4 linked regions of the Oryctolagus cuniculus genome follow. The protein of the gene in region 2 purifies or fractionates together with the protein of the main gene of each other region. This does not show direct contact. Links are inferred from orthologs where the notes say so. Each region holds a gene or a part of one and is shown on either strand. Other genes may lie near its edges. The genes, in order: FXR1, G3BP1, HDAC6 and TRIM25.

Region 1 (3,883 bases), on a different chromosome or scaffold from region 2:
GGAACTTCTTCAGTTTATGAAACACCATTCAGGACTGCTGCTTCTTGAGTGTTTTCTTCTTTTAAGGTATTAATCTTTTCTTCTCCTGGAGTACGCTGTAGCTTAGGAATTTCATCGCCAGAAGCACTAGTTGGGCCATTTATTGCCTTTTCTGAAGGACCATGTTCTTCAATCACATCTTTTGCCTGCCAAAGGGAGACAACTTTTTCAACTTCTTTATAAATGAAATCTATAGCTGAGGAGGAAAACAGCTACATAAACATTAATATTTAGCTAATTAAAAAATTCCAGTTTTATATGTCACAATGAATCCAAGAATTAAAATGTTTATAAAATTCAAAATACCAAGGTACTCCGCTCTGTGCCCTTCAACTCCATTATCTCTAGTAACTTAGCAGTGTCCAAACCACAGAAAGCATCTGTACTGTTTAAGGAAATTTTTTGGATACCAACCACTGGAAAGCTCACCATGAACAATATAAGTTAATGCCTAAGTAAAGCAATCACTACTGTACTCACCTTTTTTTATGAAACTTATTATATCAAATACCTTAAATTATTTCAAAGAATCAAATCTTTAAAGGTCCATCTCCATTACTGCAAAGAGTGTACAGCCTATTGCTTCCCAGAAGTCAACAGTCTCTATGCCCAACATCTTTGGGCAGACTGAATTTTACAAATGCTATTTAAAGTTTTAACTGAAAAGTATTTCAGGCTCAAGCATGCATACTTTCAGTTACCTGGGGCCAAGAACAAAATCGAGTTGTCTTTAATTACTTGTCTACTTAGGGAAACAAATGATCATACAGTAAGAAGTGAAAAAAATAAAGCTAAACAATAACCAAAATAAAAAAGAAACCCTACAGGTTAAATTCTCCTTACCATTTCTTTCTTGTTTTTAGCCAAAGTTTCCCTTGGGAGGTTTCTTTGTCTGCTCTGAGACTCAGCTCTAGAAATATAATCTGCAACTGTGACTGTTAAAGATGAGAAAAAAATTACAGGTGTTGAAAAATTTTCTAAAGTTTATTTATGGATAAAGAGTAATTTCACTGTTAATATAAAGTACTGGTGGGCCACCCAATTTCAGTATTTTCTTAAGCTGGGCACCACCTCAAACCAAAAACAAAGCTTGAATAATCTACCTATGACTTTAGCGCTGTCAACTGAAGTTTCAAGCTGGAGATTGAGGAAGTCTAAATTAAAATCCTCGTTCCCAAAAATCCAGCTATTTCCACCTGGTTGAAACTAAAGCTGAGGGACAAATTCGAGGTAGAAAGCTACAACCAATAATAGGGAATGTGGGTGCAGTGTTCTAGGCCCAAGACAGTGCTTGCTATGTTGGGGTGGGTAAATTTAAATTTGAAAATGTCATTAAAAATGTGCTCAAATATTATTTTTAAAAGAAAAAAAAACAATTAAAATACAACATGACACTTTCTTTAACATTTCTCACTAGAATCTGATATTAAAGTAAGAACCTATAAGTCAAATAAGGATGGCAAACCACTACCTATTCTAAAAAGTTGAATAAAGAATCAGAATGCATTCTGTGACCACCCCTGCCCCTCCCTCACTGCTAATCTTGCTATGGACTATCCAGAATATGTCTATGTAAAGTAATGGTAAGTTAGCAAAAAGGTGAACTCAGTTATATACTACTGCCAATCCTAGTACAACAAATCACCTCTACTCTACGGGTATTATATACTGGCCTCACTTTATATCTCAATCCTTTCAAGTAATTATTTTCTATCACAAACTGGGTGAGAGCCCTGATACATGAAAATACAGTATGTATTTTAAATTCTGGGTGAAAATTAATTATGTGAGAATTCAAATTTTAAGTAATTTGCTTGAAACCACAGGGAGAATTGATCCATAAGGTTCAAATTATGTCAAAATAAGTCATTTTGATATTACTAAAAGAAAGCTAGATAGTATATATAACTTTTCTTAACATGCTAGTACTTTAATATCCAAAAGTCTTTTAGAATTATTACTTGAATGAATCTTTTAAAATCATGTGAAAATCACTTTAGAACTTTCATCATTTTTATTAAAAAAAAAAACTGTAAGGTCACTTTTTAATCTAAGACTGCCTTTTTTCTTCTGTAGGAGACTCAGTATATTCATTCTGAAGCATTTTAACTTGTTTAAATTCACTGCTGGAGATAACAGTTTACAGTATTGGGAAGGGGGATATAATAATCCACCACATTACTACTTCTGCATCATGGTAGTGAGACTATCCCTGAGAATGAATCTAGCCATCCTTTGGAGACTAGCTTAGTAAATACATTCTGTTTTCACAGTTGAAGCCTCACTAATGCCTGGAAAAACTAATCTACTTAGAAGCCCTGTTGTTTATACAGACTTGCTAAATTTAAATATACAGCGAAATAATTCTCAATAGAATCCTTTGCTATGTACACAGATATATGATAATATATTTTGATACTGATATCATTAAAAGGCACTTGGCTGGAACGTCCTCTCTCCAAATAAAAGGGAACCAAAAGAAACCTCAGTTAATTCAAAGAAAAAATGTCTATAGCCAGTCCTTCTAAAAGCTTCCTTCTTAAATGTTCACTGCAGACTAAGAAATATTTATGTTGAAAACTTCAGCCAACCTAAATCTACAATTTGCACTCTAGAATTTCTTATAAGAGGGCTGAGTCAATCAGCTGCACATGTGAATGCACTGTTACACTGTAAGTGTAAAGAATACTCAATGCTTAATTTACTGCAAGAATAAGAAATTTTAAATGATAAATGATGGATTTTAAAGAATGCTATAAAACTTTAGATGAAGATTGCCTCTCAAACAGCTGCCAGGAGTAAAAAGGAAGCTTTTTTGCTCATTTCACCCACTCTATCTACCTACCTGTTGAAGAAGGGGAAGCTAGCAAATGCTAGGTCAAAGAGAAAGTGCAGAAAACAAGAGCATAAAAGAAACAGAGGCAGTACAGAACACAAATTATTCAAAACTACATTACTTGTTTCAATTAATATATATAGAAATCTCTGCCTCTTCTGCAACAAACCCCATTACTTTATTAATCCTTTTAGGTCTGTGAACTTAGTAATAACACCATTCACCATGTTAACCCATTATATCCCATTGTCTTATATTTAGGACACTTACAAAGATTTAAACTTAGCAAGTAATATATCACTTACGATAATTCTATTGTGTCACTGAAATCGTCCAAGAATAGAAAACTTGAGACTTAATGGGTTAACAAGTTATACTGTGATTAATTCTATGTTAAGTCCAGGCTGATAGCCTGAAATTTCCTATTTAAAGTAGGGCCACAAAATCTAACTACTGTGCTATTGTCAAAAAAATGTAAAAGATTTTCTTCATCTAAAATGTACTAAAGGACTAGCAGAAAGAAAAGGATAAACATTTTCTGAACACTTTCTACTTTTTGACAGTGTTTAATGCCTTTTAAAATGCCCAACTATTTTTACAAGAACTGGACCTAATACCCTTAAACCAGCTTTCCCAAATATCTCTACAACCACTAAACTTAAAATGCTAAAAATGCTAGAATTTATATCTTTTATTTGGGAAAAACACATGAAAGAATTTGGTTTGGAAAGAATGCAAAAACTGATTAGTTTGAAAGGGGTTTATTTCTGGTGCACACACATTTCTTCATTGTGAATATACATGTGATACTCTATACACAGGAAATGAAATTATGTTCAAAATAATTGACACAACAAATTTTGTTGAAGTTACTATAAAGTATAACTACTTAAAATAAGTTAACATTCTAAAACTAAATACTATTAATTTGAATAGTTAGTAGGTGTAAGGAAAAAAATCATCACACTACAATGAAACAAAACCATAACATGCATTCCTCTTAAGAAA
Region 2 (3,883 bases):
GTTGCGCATCAACAGTGGTGGAAAGCTGCCCAATTTTGGTTTTGTTGTATTTGATGATTCTGAGCCTGTTCAGAAGGTCCTTAGCAACAGGGTAAGCTGATTCTTACCTTTCTAATTCCATTTTCCTGTAAACTTTTTGTTGTATCCCATTTTATGGCCAATATGTTTAGGTTGGCCTTGAATTCAAATCTTAGAGAATGTAATAAACCCAGTGGACCAGACAAGATCCTGATAAATTACTTCCCAGTTACTTGTCCCAAGACTAAGCAGTATGTTTATTTATTTATTTTTTAAAGATTTATTTATTTTAAAGGCAGAGTTGGGCAGAGGCAGAGAGAGGTCTTCCATCCGCAGGTTCACTCCCCAAATGGCAGCAATGGCTGGAGCTGCACTGATCCGAAGCCAGGAGCCAGGAGCTCAAGGAGTTGGGCCATCTTTTACTGCTTTCCCAGGCCTTAGCAGAGAGCTGGATTAGAAGTGGAGCAGCTGGGACTTGAACGGGCACCTATATGGGAAGCCAGCACTGCAGGTGGTGGCATTAACCGCTGTGCCACAGTGCCGGCCCCTCTTTTTTTCTTTTTTTAAAACAAAGAATTGTGCATTTGAAAGTAGAGTGACTGGAAAATACTCTGGCTGCTGGTTTACTCCCCAAATGGCTGCAGTGGCTGAAGCCAGGCCAGGCCAAAACCAGGAGTCCAGAACTTCATCTGGGTTTCTCACATAGTTGTAGGGTCCCAGCCACAGCTACTTCCCAGGTACATTGGCAGGGATCAGAAGTGGAGCTGCTGGCACTTGAGCCTGTGTTCTGATACGGGATGCCGGCAGTTTAGCACTTTCTGCCGCAGTGCTGGCTCCGCTGGTTTTTTTGTTTTGCTTTGTTTTGTTGTGTTTTTTTTTGTTGTTTTGATAGCCCGTAAGCACACTGAGTGAAGTCAGATCACTTTGCTTCTTACAGCCCATCATGTTCAGAGGTGAAGTCCGTCTGAATGTGGAAGAGAAGAAGACTCGAGCTGCTAGGGAGGGAGATCGTCGCGATAACCGCCTGCGGGGACCTGGAGGCCCTCGAGGTGGGCTGGGTGGTGGAATGCGAGGCCCTCCCCGTGGAGGCATGGTGCAGAAACCCGGATTCGGAGTGGGAAGGGGGATTGCTCCACGGCAATGAATTACCCATCGCTGATCATCACACAGCCGTACAAACCCCAGCTCCTGCAGAGTGGTGAATTTCTTCAACCAGCCTTTCTTGGAGTATGACCTAGTCTGTTATAAACTGCTTACGTTTGTACAACTTCACTTCTCTTGTGTTAATGGTGTGTGCTCCTTTTCCCTCCTTCTTCCCTTTAGTCCTTCACTTCCAATTTTGTGGAATGATATTTTAGGAGTATTGGATTTATAAAGAAGATAAAGACAAAAGACTGAATTTCCTTGCTTACACTTTGCATATACAGACTGGATTTTTTTAAAATAGCCATTTCCCCAAAGGAATGTGTCTTGCTTATTACTGACATTTGGTATGTTTCATTCATTGGAATATTCTTATTTTCTACATGTTCCAGAAACCTGTGAGATACAGGATTTGATAAACATTTTGAAGGCAAGAAAAATCCAATTGTTCTATGAGAGTCATGACCTTCTGGTGTAGAAAAGTTGCCACTGAAAAATTTAACAAGTTTCATTTTCTCTAGTATGGCTAAAAACTGAATAAAAGGTGTTAATAGAGTTAATTTGTTTTGGTATGTGATCACAAAACAATTCTGAAACACTGTTTCTACCACTAAAACTTAAATTGTGAGATAGGTTTTAAATGTGTAGTATGCAACTGATGAGCTTTTCTTGAACTGTTAGAATTTTTTTGAAGTAGAATTTTTTTCATGTTTAATTTGTATTTGTAAAAAAAAATAGAAAACAAAAACAAAAAAAGTCCCGAAATCCAAATAACAAAAAACCAGAGCAAAACTGTTGTGCCTTCTCTTTGATTCCAGTCTTGACAATTGTTTAAACAAAAATAAATTAAAAAAAATTCTAGATTTGTTTTTACCAGGTTAAGAGTATGTGGGAAATTGTAGAATCCCTTTATCAACACCTTGTTTGTTTGTCATCTGTTAACATTTGTTATGCCTTATTCTAAAATTGAGTCTCAAACTGGAATGCCTTTGAGGACAGATATTTCTATAGAGGTCCTTTGACCTAAATAGTTCTGCATTTGTATTAAGTTTTATTTTGATATCTAACCGGATTCCTAATCATAGCCCATAAGAAGGAATGTGACTTTAATATTGGACTTCACTACTTCACTGATATACTCGAGTGTCTGCAATTTTTTTTTCCTTTAAATCATAGCCATATGGTAAATTTTCTATTTTGTTAAGGTTCTCTTTTATTGATGGGCATGCAGTGGGTATTTCTTGGAAATGGCCAAATTTTTATTAAAATATTTCTGGAAGAAAATTTAATCTGGTAATATAGACTAATACTCGTTTCGCATACTATGTTATTTGTTGAGTGTTGTGTGTGAGGGTGTGAGGTGGGTGAAGGTTTTGTTTACACAAATGTGAAACAAGCCTTTGTGTGATAACTGATCACTAATGGAAGGACAACTAAGTTGTCAGTTTAATTTATTTTCTTAACAGCGTTCCTCTGCAGGACTGTCATTGGAGCAATAGTATAGGAATAAGAATGTTTCATTTTGCAGAAACTGTTGGCTGTGAAGGGGTTGGATAAGTGTTAAATGAATTTTGATATTACCAATTTGGTCCCGCTGTTTCAAATACTTGAAAAAATGGTAGCATCTTCTTCATATAAAGAAACTTAGGCGACTGAGTCATTTGGCTCTTAAATAACTCTTTGGTAACCACTTCATTTGACCCACGCCTGTCATAATTGGAAAAAGCTTGCACTTTTGTAGCTTATGTTAAGCTTGTTTTGAAAAGAAAGCTAGCCTGAGATCCTTTTGAGAAAAACAAATGGCAGTAACTTTGAAGTCAAAAGGTTTTACTGATGAGTGCGCAATCATACATGTGAAATCAAGGGTTCTTCTTACTCAGAGGTTTAAAGTGCTGAGTAGATACAGTGATTCTCAAATTCTAGTTATGTCATAGAGGGTGTTTCAAAATAAGTGAGATGTGGGGAGAGTGAGAGAGACTATCTGGTGTCATTGGATTGGGGCCAAGGACACCAAATATTTTCTAACAGTGAAGCAAGCCTTTTTTCTTTTCTTTTTTTTTCTTTTTCTTTTTTTTTTTTTGACAGGTAGAGTGGACAGTGAGAGAGAGACAGAGAGAAAGGTCTTCCCTTGCCATTGGTTCACCCTCCAATGGCCGCTGTGGCCGGCGCGCTGCGGCCGGTGCACCGTGCTGATCCGATGGCAGGAGCCAGGTACTTCTCCTGGTCTCCCATGGGGTGCAGGGCTCAAGCACTTGGGCCATCCTCCACTGCACTCCCTGGCCACAGCAGAGAGCTGGCCTGGAAGAGGGGCAACCGGGACAGAATCCAGCACCCCGACCGGGACTAGAACCGGGTGTGCCGGCGCCGCAAGGTGGAGGATTAGCCTAGTGAGCCGCGGCGCCAGCCATCTTTTAAGAGCCCTAATGTTACCTATGGCTGTGGATGGGTAGACTGGTGCAGGTGGGGAAGTAGGAATAGTTTGATTCTTTTGAAATTTAGCCTCAGACAAATAATTAGGAAATGGGAATCTTTTATGGAATTACAGTACCATTTATCTACTCTTATGTAATTAATATTCTGATTTTTTGCCATTATATGTACCGTGTGTGTGTGTGTGTGTGTGTGTGTGTTTAAATATGAAGAGTTAGTAGCAGTGTATGCTAAATGCTGCTTGTGAATTAATGCAGGGAATCACTGCATAATCTCAGAAAACAAATAATTT
Region 3 (3,883 bases), on a different chromosome or scaffold from region 2:
TCTTATTTTTAATCCTCTCAGCTTTCAATATATTGCCTAGAAGACTCAGTTACTACATGGTATGTGGTTGTTTAGGGGGAGAAATATAACTAGACAATTTGTCGGCTTTTCAGTTAAAAAAGACACAATTCATATGTTATGTCATCTTTTTATAATCACTGTTCCCATGTGCGGAACACTCTTCACTCTACTTGTGTGTCAAAAGAACCTTTAACATTAAAATAGATGACAAAACTCAGAAAACATCCATTATGAATTTGAAATACTTTCCAATAAAAGTAAGTGATAATAAAAATAATTTTTACTTGAGTCTAGTTTAATTTCTTAAAAGGACAGTGTTCAAACCAAAAGTAAATGCTACTGTATGTGAGAAAGAGAACTAGGGCAGGAGGGAGCGAAATAGCACAGTGGAGGGACTCCAGTCTTAAACAGGACGGTCAGGGAAGGCCTCACTGACACTTGAGTGGAGATCTGAAGGAGACGAGGGAGGGAAGCATCTGGAGGAGAGTATTCTAGGCAGGACAGCAATTAGACTGAAGTCCCTGGGGCAGCCTGAAGAGTACGTGGTTCCACTGAGAACCAGAGAAGAAATCTGAATAGGTGGAGCTAAGCCAGGGAAGGGGAGAGTGGTAGGATGTGGGTTCAGAGGTGGGGGGGAGGACTGGCTTTTACTGTTAGTAGTATGGGAACCATGAGAGGATTTTGAGTGGCCAAGATGCATGATCTGATCAGGGTTTTAACCAATGTCTGGCTGCTGTATGTAGAATGGACTGCTAGGGGACCAAGGGCAGAAGCTGGAAGGGTGGATGGAGAGATGTGGCGAGAGCAGACCTGGGGCTCCCCAGTGGCCCAATATATGCATCTTCATCTCCCCAGTTTCCCAGAAGGTCCTGAGCGGCTCCATGCCATCAAGGAGCAACTGATACAGGAGGGCCTCCTGGATCGCTGTGTATCCTTTCACGTGAGTCCCCCAGTCAGTGCAGTCCCCCAGAGGGCAGGGATCTGGCAGGACTTGGGCACAGCCTGTGCCTGAACCCTTTATTTCTCATGTCTTCTCAGGCGCGGTTTGCAGAAAAGGAGGAGCTGATGTTGGTTCACAGGTGAAGGCTTGGGAGCCTTGCAGGGATGGGGAGGAGGCTGCCTTGGACCAGCATGGGCAGGCTGGATGCTTTGGGAAGGAATGTTGTGGACTCTGGTCAGCCTTGGGCAAGTTGCTGGGCCTGTCTGAATCTGTATCATCACTTGTAACCAAGGGGCTAAGTAAACCTAAGTTCCTCGGGAAGATTCCTGTGTGTCTGGTGCTCAGAATGGGCCCTGATCTATCCTCAGTCCATGCTGAGCATTGTTATTGTCATCAGGTTGTGTAAACAGAGGGTGGGTGTATGGACAGGGGTCAGAGGGCTGCAGGAATCGAGAATAAGAGGCCTGGAGCACTATAGCTCAAGGAAAGCTCTCTTGGCAGAGGGAAGATATGAGCTGAGCTCTAGGAGGAGAAAAAGTGAGATGCAGAGGAAGGCTGAAGGGAGGAGGAACAGACAACTGGAACAGTCTGGCCAAGGGCCTGGGAGTAGGATTTGGTATAGCCAGAGCAGGGGGGCAGGGGACATTATTGGCAATGGCTAGGGGAAAAACAGGGAATGTGTCCTATATCCCAGCTGGTCCCTCATGGTGATAGCTGGGAAGGCATAATTTGACCACGTGTAGAAGGCTCACCCAGGGAGGGGACAGGGCCCTGAATCTCATCCTCTGTCTGTCCACAGCCTAGAATACATTGATCTGATGGAGTCGACTCAGTACATGAAAGAAGGGGAACTCCGTGTCCTAGCAGACACCTATGACTCAGTATATCTGCATCCGGTATGGATGAAAACTGTGGGGGCAAGCAGTCGCTGCAATCCTGGGGTCCCTGGAAGCAGCCAAGTGAACAGGGCTGTTCCCTCATTTATTCATACTCTGGCTCCCCACTGTCTCTCCAGAACTCATACTCCTGTGCCTGCCTGGCTTCAGGTTCTGTCCTCAGGCTGGTGGATGCAGTCCTGGGGGCTGAGATCCGGAATGGCATGGCCATCATCAGGTAGGACCCTCCAGCATTTCATATTTCACATTTCACACTTTTTAAAAGTCCTTCCTTCAAATGTAAATTAAATATATTAGTACGGTATGTAATATAGGCATGGATTCAAGAGTCAAAAGGTATCAAAGGGCAAGGATATAATAAAAAATCTTTTTTCCACTCTTGTCACTCAGACACGTACTTCCCTTCCTGGGAGGGAGTCATTATAACCAGTGCTTTGTGTATCATTTTACAAATATTCTTATTCAAGGAATAAATACTACATTTCATTGATTCTTTGGTGTACATTTGAAAATCTCAGTGACATCTCAGAATTTTATTAGCACCATTTTCTGCTTTGTTGTTGGCAAACATGGTGCATATTGTCATGGTTGGCATCTCTGAATTGATGGAATGCAGAAGATAGAGCCCTTCTTCTCCCCTCCCCTTTGTCACCCACAGATGGTAGTACTTGACACACTCCCTTCTGCACCATGCTCTTTCACTTAGCTATCTTGGAAAGCTTTCTCTAACACTATATACCTTAGACCCTGCTAGAACACCACTGCATCCCTGCACTTTCAGTGAACTAGTTTTTTATCAATGAGTATTTTGGTTTTGCCCAATCATTTGCAGTTTCAAAAAGGCCACAGCAAGTATGGCAGTACTTTATAAGCATGTTGTTTCACCCTCTTTCTTATATATAAGTTGTGGGCTCAATCCCCACTGCAGAAAGACTGGGCATGAGAATGTGTACATTGAGAACTTGAGTGAACACTTTCAAATCTCTTTGGTAGAGAGAGAGCAGTAGGTTGGCAGGGGAGGTGAGAATTCTAGGGCCCCAGTTCCTCAGTTGCTAACAGATTTGCAGGTATTGGCATTGGAGGAGTTGGTCCAGGATCAAGGAGCTAGGGGAGTCGGAGTCCTTCTCTGCAGACGAGAACCTCCCCCATCAGTGACCTTCTTTGTTCTGTCCAGGCCTCCTGGACACCACGCCCAGCACAGTCTTATGGATGGGTATTGCATGTTCAATCACGTGGCTGTGGCTGCTCGTTATGCTCAACAGAAGCATGGCATACAGAGGTCAGTGGCAGAGGGTGGGTGTGATAGGGGTGGCACAGGGTGGCCTGTCTGGGTCTGGGCTCTTCCCCCAGATTCACTTTAATCCCCTTGCACAGAACCCCCTCTTTTTCTTATAGGGTCCTTATTGTTGACTGGGATATACACCACGGTCAAGGAACACAGTTCATGTTTGACCAGGACCCCAGGTACACGCTAGGTGCTAGACTCCCAACTGCCCTCTACTGTTACAGGTTCAGCCAGAAAGAGCCCAGAAGGGGAAGGTGTTCACATGTATTAGGCCTGCCCTGGGCCCAGGACCAACACTGCTCTGTGTGTCTGTTCTCTTGTCTTATTTCATTCAGTGGCAGGGACTTCTGGGTTCCCTGTTTTACAGATAGAGGAACTAAGGTGTACAGATTAAGAGGTCTCAGAGAGAAGAAGGGGCAACAATAGGATCTGACCCCTGTTCACTAATGGACCCTTGAACTGGTTAAACCTCAAATTATTATTTTATCTCTTCTGATTGTGATAATATTACAAAGTACTTTTAAAAATACAGAAATGTCTAAGGCAGAGTCTCATAGTTCCCATCACCTCAGAAATAATTATTGGCAGTTTAGGTTATGCACTTAGATATATGAATATTCATTGTTATTATTAACACTACACAAAGTAACAGAATAATCCTCCACACACTCTTCAGCAACTTGCTTTTTCATTTCACAGCATATTGCAGATACCCTGTCCCATTAGTGCCTCTAAAAGCAT
Region 4 (3,883 bases), on a different chromosome or scaffold from region 2:
GGGTGAAATAGGTACAGTTCCTCCCAGGGTTTTATTCCCCAGTGTCATCAGGCAGGGCGGCCCACTTGGCGCTGGCAGGAGGGCAGGCGGGGATCACGTGCAGAGTTCTCAGGGCTATGGACAGGACTTTGCAGTGTGGAGACCCACGCTGCTGGAGGCTGCCCCCTTCCCTCCTCTGGTGCTTTGTTGACTTTAGGCTCCACACACACACACACACACACACACACACGGGCTGATCTCTAACTTCCTACCTGGCGAAGTCCCAGGTATGGGCAGGTGTGTTGTTCCAGGTAATCCTCCTTGATAGCCCTATGGGGTGGGAGCAGTTGTTTCTCTTTTATGGCCAATGAAACTGAGGTGGTGGGAGCTGTACAGCTGCAAACTGGGACTTGAGCTGGGTCCGTCTGACCCCACATCTGGTTCTCTGAACTTCCTTACTGTGCAGCCCCCCTAAAGGATGATGGACTGCTTCAGAAAGCTCTACACAGGCGAGACACGGGGTGGCCGAGCCCCTGTGGGATGGACTCAGGGGATGGCCCCTGGTGTTGGGGGTGAGGCTGACGAGGAGCTGTCTCACCCTTGTTTGTTTTCTCTGCAGAACAAGCTGAGGTACAAACTCACCATCATGTACAGTCAGATCAATGGGGCGTCGAAAGCGCTAGAGGATGTGCAAGCCAGGCAGCAGGGTGTGCAGGTGAGTGGCCAGGCCCTTGTCCACCACCAGGCGGGATGGGGGCAGCCCTGACCTTGACAAGGCTGGTGTTGGGTGCACTCACAAGCATCAGAATTCAGCACCAGCCTTGCAGAGCAAGCAAAAGCACTGTGTGCTCAGGAGAGACCCTTTGCAAACCCAAGTTGAAAACCACCCACAGGCCCAACCGTGGGGGAACCTTCAGAACTTGAGCTGGGGGTGGCTGCTGTGGTACAGTGGTTAAACCACTGCTTGGGATACCCGCGTCCCATGTCAGAGTGCTGGTTCGAGTCCCGGCTCCCCTGCTTCTGATCCAGTTTCTGCTAGTGTGCACCCTGGGAGGCAGCAGGTATTGGCTGAAGTGCTTGGGTCCCTGCTGTCCTCATGGAAGACCCAGAGTTCTGGGCTCCTGGTGTCAGCCTGGCCCAGCCTTGGCTGTTGCAGGCACTTGGGGAGTAAACCAGTGGATGGAAGCTTGCTTGCTCTCTTTCTCTTTCCCTCTCTGTGTGTTATTATGCCTTTCAAATAAATAAGCATAAAAAAAAAGAACTAAAATGTAGGAATATAAAGAAATGATTATGATCTGAAATGGGAGAAAAACAGGAAGCCAATATCCACTAGAGTTGCATCTTCCCTAAAAAGAGTGTTGTTTCCTGGGGCGCTGTAACAAATTGCCACAACCTTGGCGACTGAAACAAATGAAACTCATTCTTTCCCGGTTTTGGAGGCTGGAAGTCCAAAATCACAACGTGGGCGGGATCAGTTGCAGCATGGGTGGGGTCACACTGCTCTGACAGCTGTGACCGAGAGGCCATTTTTGCCTCTCCCAGCTCCAGCCCCTCAGGCTGATGGCTTTGTGGCTGTGTGGCTCCAGTCTCCCCCTCCTTCCCCTCTGTGTTTCCAAACACCTGTCAAATAAAAACAAAACACCTGTCTTTAGATTTAGGGCCCACCAGCATAATACAGGGTGATCTCATGTTGAGATCCTCAATTTAATTACATCTGCAAATACCCTTTACTGGGAGGCAGGTGTCGGGGGATAGGGAGGGAAGGCAGCATTGGATCCATTGCAGGGAGTATAGGAGAAAAGATAGGAAGGGAGAATTTTTTTAAAAAAGATTTTTTATTTATTTGAGAGGTAGAGTTACAGACAGAGAGAGGGAGAGACAGAGAGGTCTGTCATCTGCTGGTTCACTCCCCAAATAGCTACAGTGGCCAGGGCTGGGCCAGGCTGGAGCCAGGAGCTGAGAAATTCATCACAGTCTCCCACAGGCCCAGGTGCCTAAGCACTCAGGCCATCTTCCGCTGCCTTCCCAGGTGCATTAGCAGGGAGCTGGGACTCGAACCGGCGCCCACATGGATGTCTGTGTCTCAGGCTGCAGGTTGACCTGCTGCACCACAACGCTGGCCTCTGCTAACACATCTTGATTTGGACTAGCCACGTCTCAAGGGCTGGGAATGGAGCACAGGCACTCTGGTGTGGGATGCGGGCATCTTGACTGGCACTTCAGCTGCGAGGCTCAGTACTCAGCCGCTCCATGCATTTCTTTACGTGCTATCTCATACACGTATGCATTCTGTAGCAATCGATTCTGCCCTTCTGTTTGTTTCTCAGCTTTACATAAACAGCTGCTTCTCCAAGTCTGTGTCTTCTTCAAGTTGTTTTTCTCTCTTGGAGCTTTATCCCTGCATGGCTCCAGTTTATTAATCCTCATAACCATTTGGCTTTCCGTCCTGTGAACAGCTCTGTCTCAAGTCTTCTGCTGACAGATTTCCGGGTTGTTCCCAGGTTCTCGCTGTTTCAAAGCGTGTCACTTATGAACATTCTTGTGTGTGTCGCTGAGGCAGGTGTCAGGGCATTTTCCCAGAGTGCTTTCCTAGGATCGCAGCCACCGAGTCATTGGGCACAAATGCCTCCGAATTTCCTAGACTGCCTGGTTGCTGCCCAGGGTGGCTGTGCTGGCTCCTACTGCTACAGGGCACAAGTCAGAGTTTCTGGTGCTCTGCCTCTCACCCACCTTGGGATGGCAGCTGTAGCAATTTTTTTTTTTTTTTTTTTGCCCATCTCACGGTTCTTCTCTTGCCTCGGCCCTCTTAGGAGGCTACAAACAGGAAGATAGAGCAGCTGCGACAAGAATACCTGGAAATCAAGGCTCTCATCGATGCCTCGGAGGCCAGCTCGACTCGAAAGATAAAGGAAGAGGAGAAGAGAGTGCACAGCAAGTTGGACACCATTCACCAGGTGCTCCTCAAGAAGAAGAGCGAGATCCAGGCCCTGAAGGAGAAGATCGAGGACGGCCTCAAGGAGGGGGACGAGTTTGAGTTTCTGGAGGTGGGTGGCAGGGCCCGGGACTGCCGGGTCTCTTAGCGATACGGTGGGGCCTGGTGCCGTCGGGCTGCAAGAGGTCAACAGAAGTATCTCTGAGTTTGCTGGGTTGCGACAGGACTTCAAGAACGTACCGCAGCCCCAGGGCTTAGAGCTGCTCAGCGGCTCCCTGGCCCTGGAGTATGGGCATGGCTCCGTCTGCGCAGGAGCTCACGACGCCAGCATCTGGGGGCTGGCTGGGCTGCGTTCCTTTTGGAGCGCACATGGCGTGGCCGTTGTTGGTAGAATTCATTTCCTTAGGGTTGAAGGAATGAGGTCGCCCCCTCCTTGCTGGCTGTCAGCCAAGGCCTCTCCCAGCTTGGTAGCTTCCTTCCTCAAAGCTAGCAGGAGAGCTGCTCCCTCGAGGAAGGCCTGGTCCTCCTTTTACCTGATTGTCTGGCTCACCCGAAAAAATCCCCCTCTGGATGAACTCCAGGTCAACTGATTCGGGGTCTTCTTGTTGTTTGTTTCTTTTTTTTTTTTTACTTTTTAATTTTTATTTTATTTATTTATTTTTACTTTTTTTATTTTTTTGACAGGCAGAGTGGACAGTGAGAGAGAGAGACAGAGAGAAAGGTCTTCTTTTTGCCGTTGGTTCACCCTCCAATGGCCACCGCGGCTGGCGCACTGCGGCCGGCGCACCGTGCTGATCTGATGGCAGGAGCCAGGAGCCAGGTACTTATCCTGGTCTCCCATGGGGTGCAGGGCCCAAGCACCTGGGCCATCCTCCACTGCACTCCCTGGCCACAGCAGAGAGCTGGCCTGGAAGAAGGGCAACTGGGACAGAATCCGGTGCCCCGACCGGGACTAGAACCCGGTGTGCCAGC

The links.
Region 1: the proteins of G3BP1 (region 2) and FXR1 purify together in Homo sapiens (affinity purification with mass spectrometry; 3 studies listed by BioGRID and IntAct, with this or other methods). This does not show direct contact. The link is inferred for Oryctolagus cuniculus from reciprocal best matches to the Homo sapiens genes G3BP1 and FXR1.
Region 3: the proteins of G3BP1 (region 2) and HDAC6 purify together in Homo sapiens (affinity purification with western blotting; 4 studies listed by BioGRID, with this or other methods). This does not show direct contact. The link is inferred for Oryctolagus cuniculus from reciprocal best matches to the Homo sapiens genes G3BP1 and HDAC6.
Region 4: the proteins of G3BP1 (region 2) and TRIM25 purify together in Homo sapiens (affinity purification with mass spectrometry; 4 studies listed by BioGRID and IntAct, with this or other methods). This does not show direct contact. The link is inferred for Oryctolagus cuniculus from reciprocal best matches to the Homo sapiens genes G3BP1 and TRIM25.

Annotation. Positions count from the first base shown.
Region 1 is NC_091435.1:98,687,460-98,691,342, forward strand, and holds part of FXR1 (RNA-binding protein FXR1), read right to left. Parts: exon of another isoform or gene 975-3,883; coding exon 883-974; intron 186-882; coding exon 15-185; 3' UTR 1-14. UniProt on the Homo sapiens protein: mRNA-binding protein that acts as a regulator of mRNAs translation and/or stability, and which is required for various processes, such as neurogenesis, muscle development and spermatogenesis.
Region 2 is NC_091437.1:38,784,726-38,788,608, forward strand, and holds part of G3BP1 (ras GTPase-activating protein-binding protein 1), read left to right. Parts: coding exon 1-91; intron 92-955; coding exon 956-1,162; 3' UTR 1,163-3,883. UniProt on the Homo sapiens protein: Protein involved in various processes, such as stress granule formation and innate immunity. Plays an essential role in stress granule formation.
Region 3 is NC_091453.1:33,990,642-33,994,524, forward strand, and holds part of HDAC6 (histone deacetylase 6), read left to right. Parts: intron 1-876; coding exon 877-961; intron 962-1,059; coding exon 1,060-1,100; intron 1,101-1,760; coding exon 1,761-1,857; intron 1,858-1,976; coding exon 1,977-2,074; intron 2,075-3,031; coding exon 3,032-3,136; intron 3,137-3,252; coding exon 3,253-3,321; intron 3,322-3,883.
Region 4 is NC_091448.1:32,516,122-32,520,004, reverse strand, and holds part of TRIM25 (E3 ubiquitin/ISG15 ligase TRIM25), read left to right. Parts: intron 1-598; coding exon 599-694; intron 695-2,789; coding exon 2,790-3,023; intron 3,024-3,883.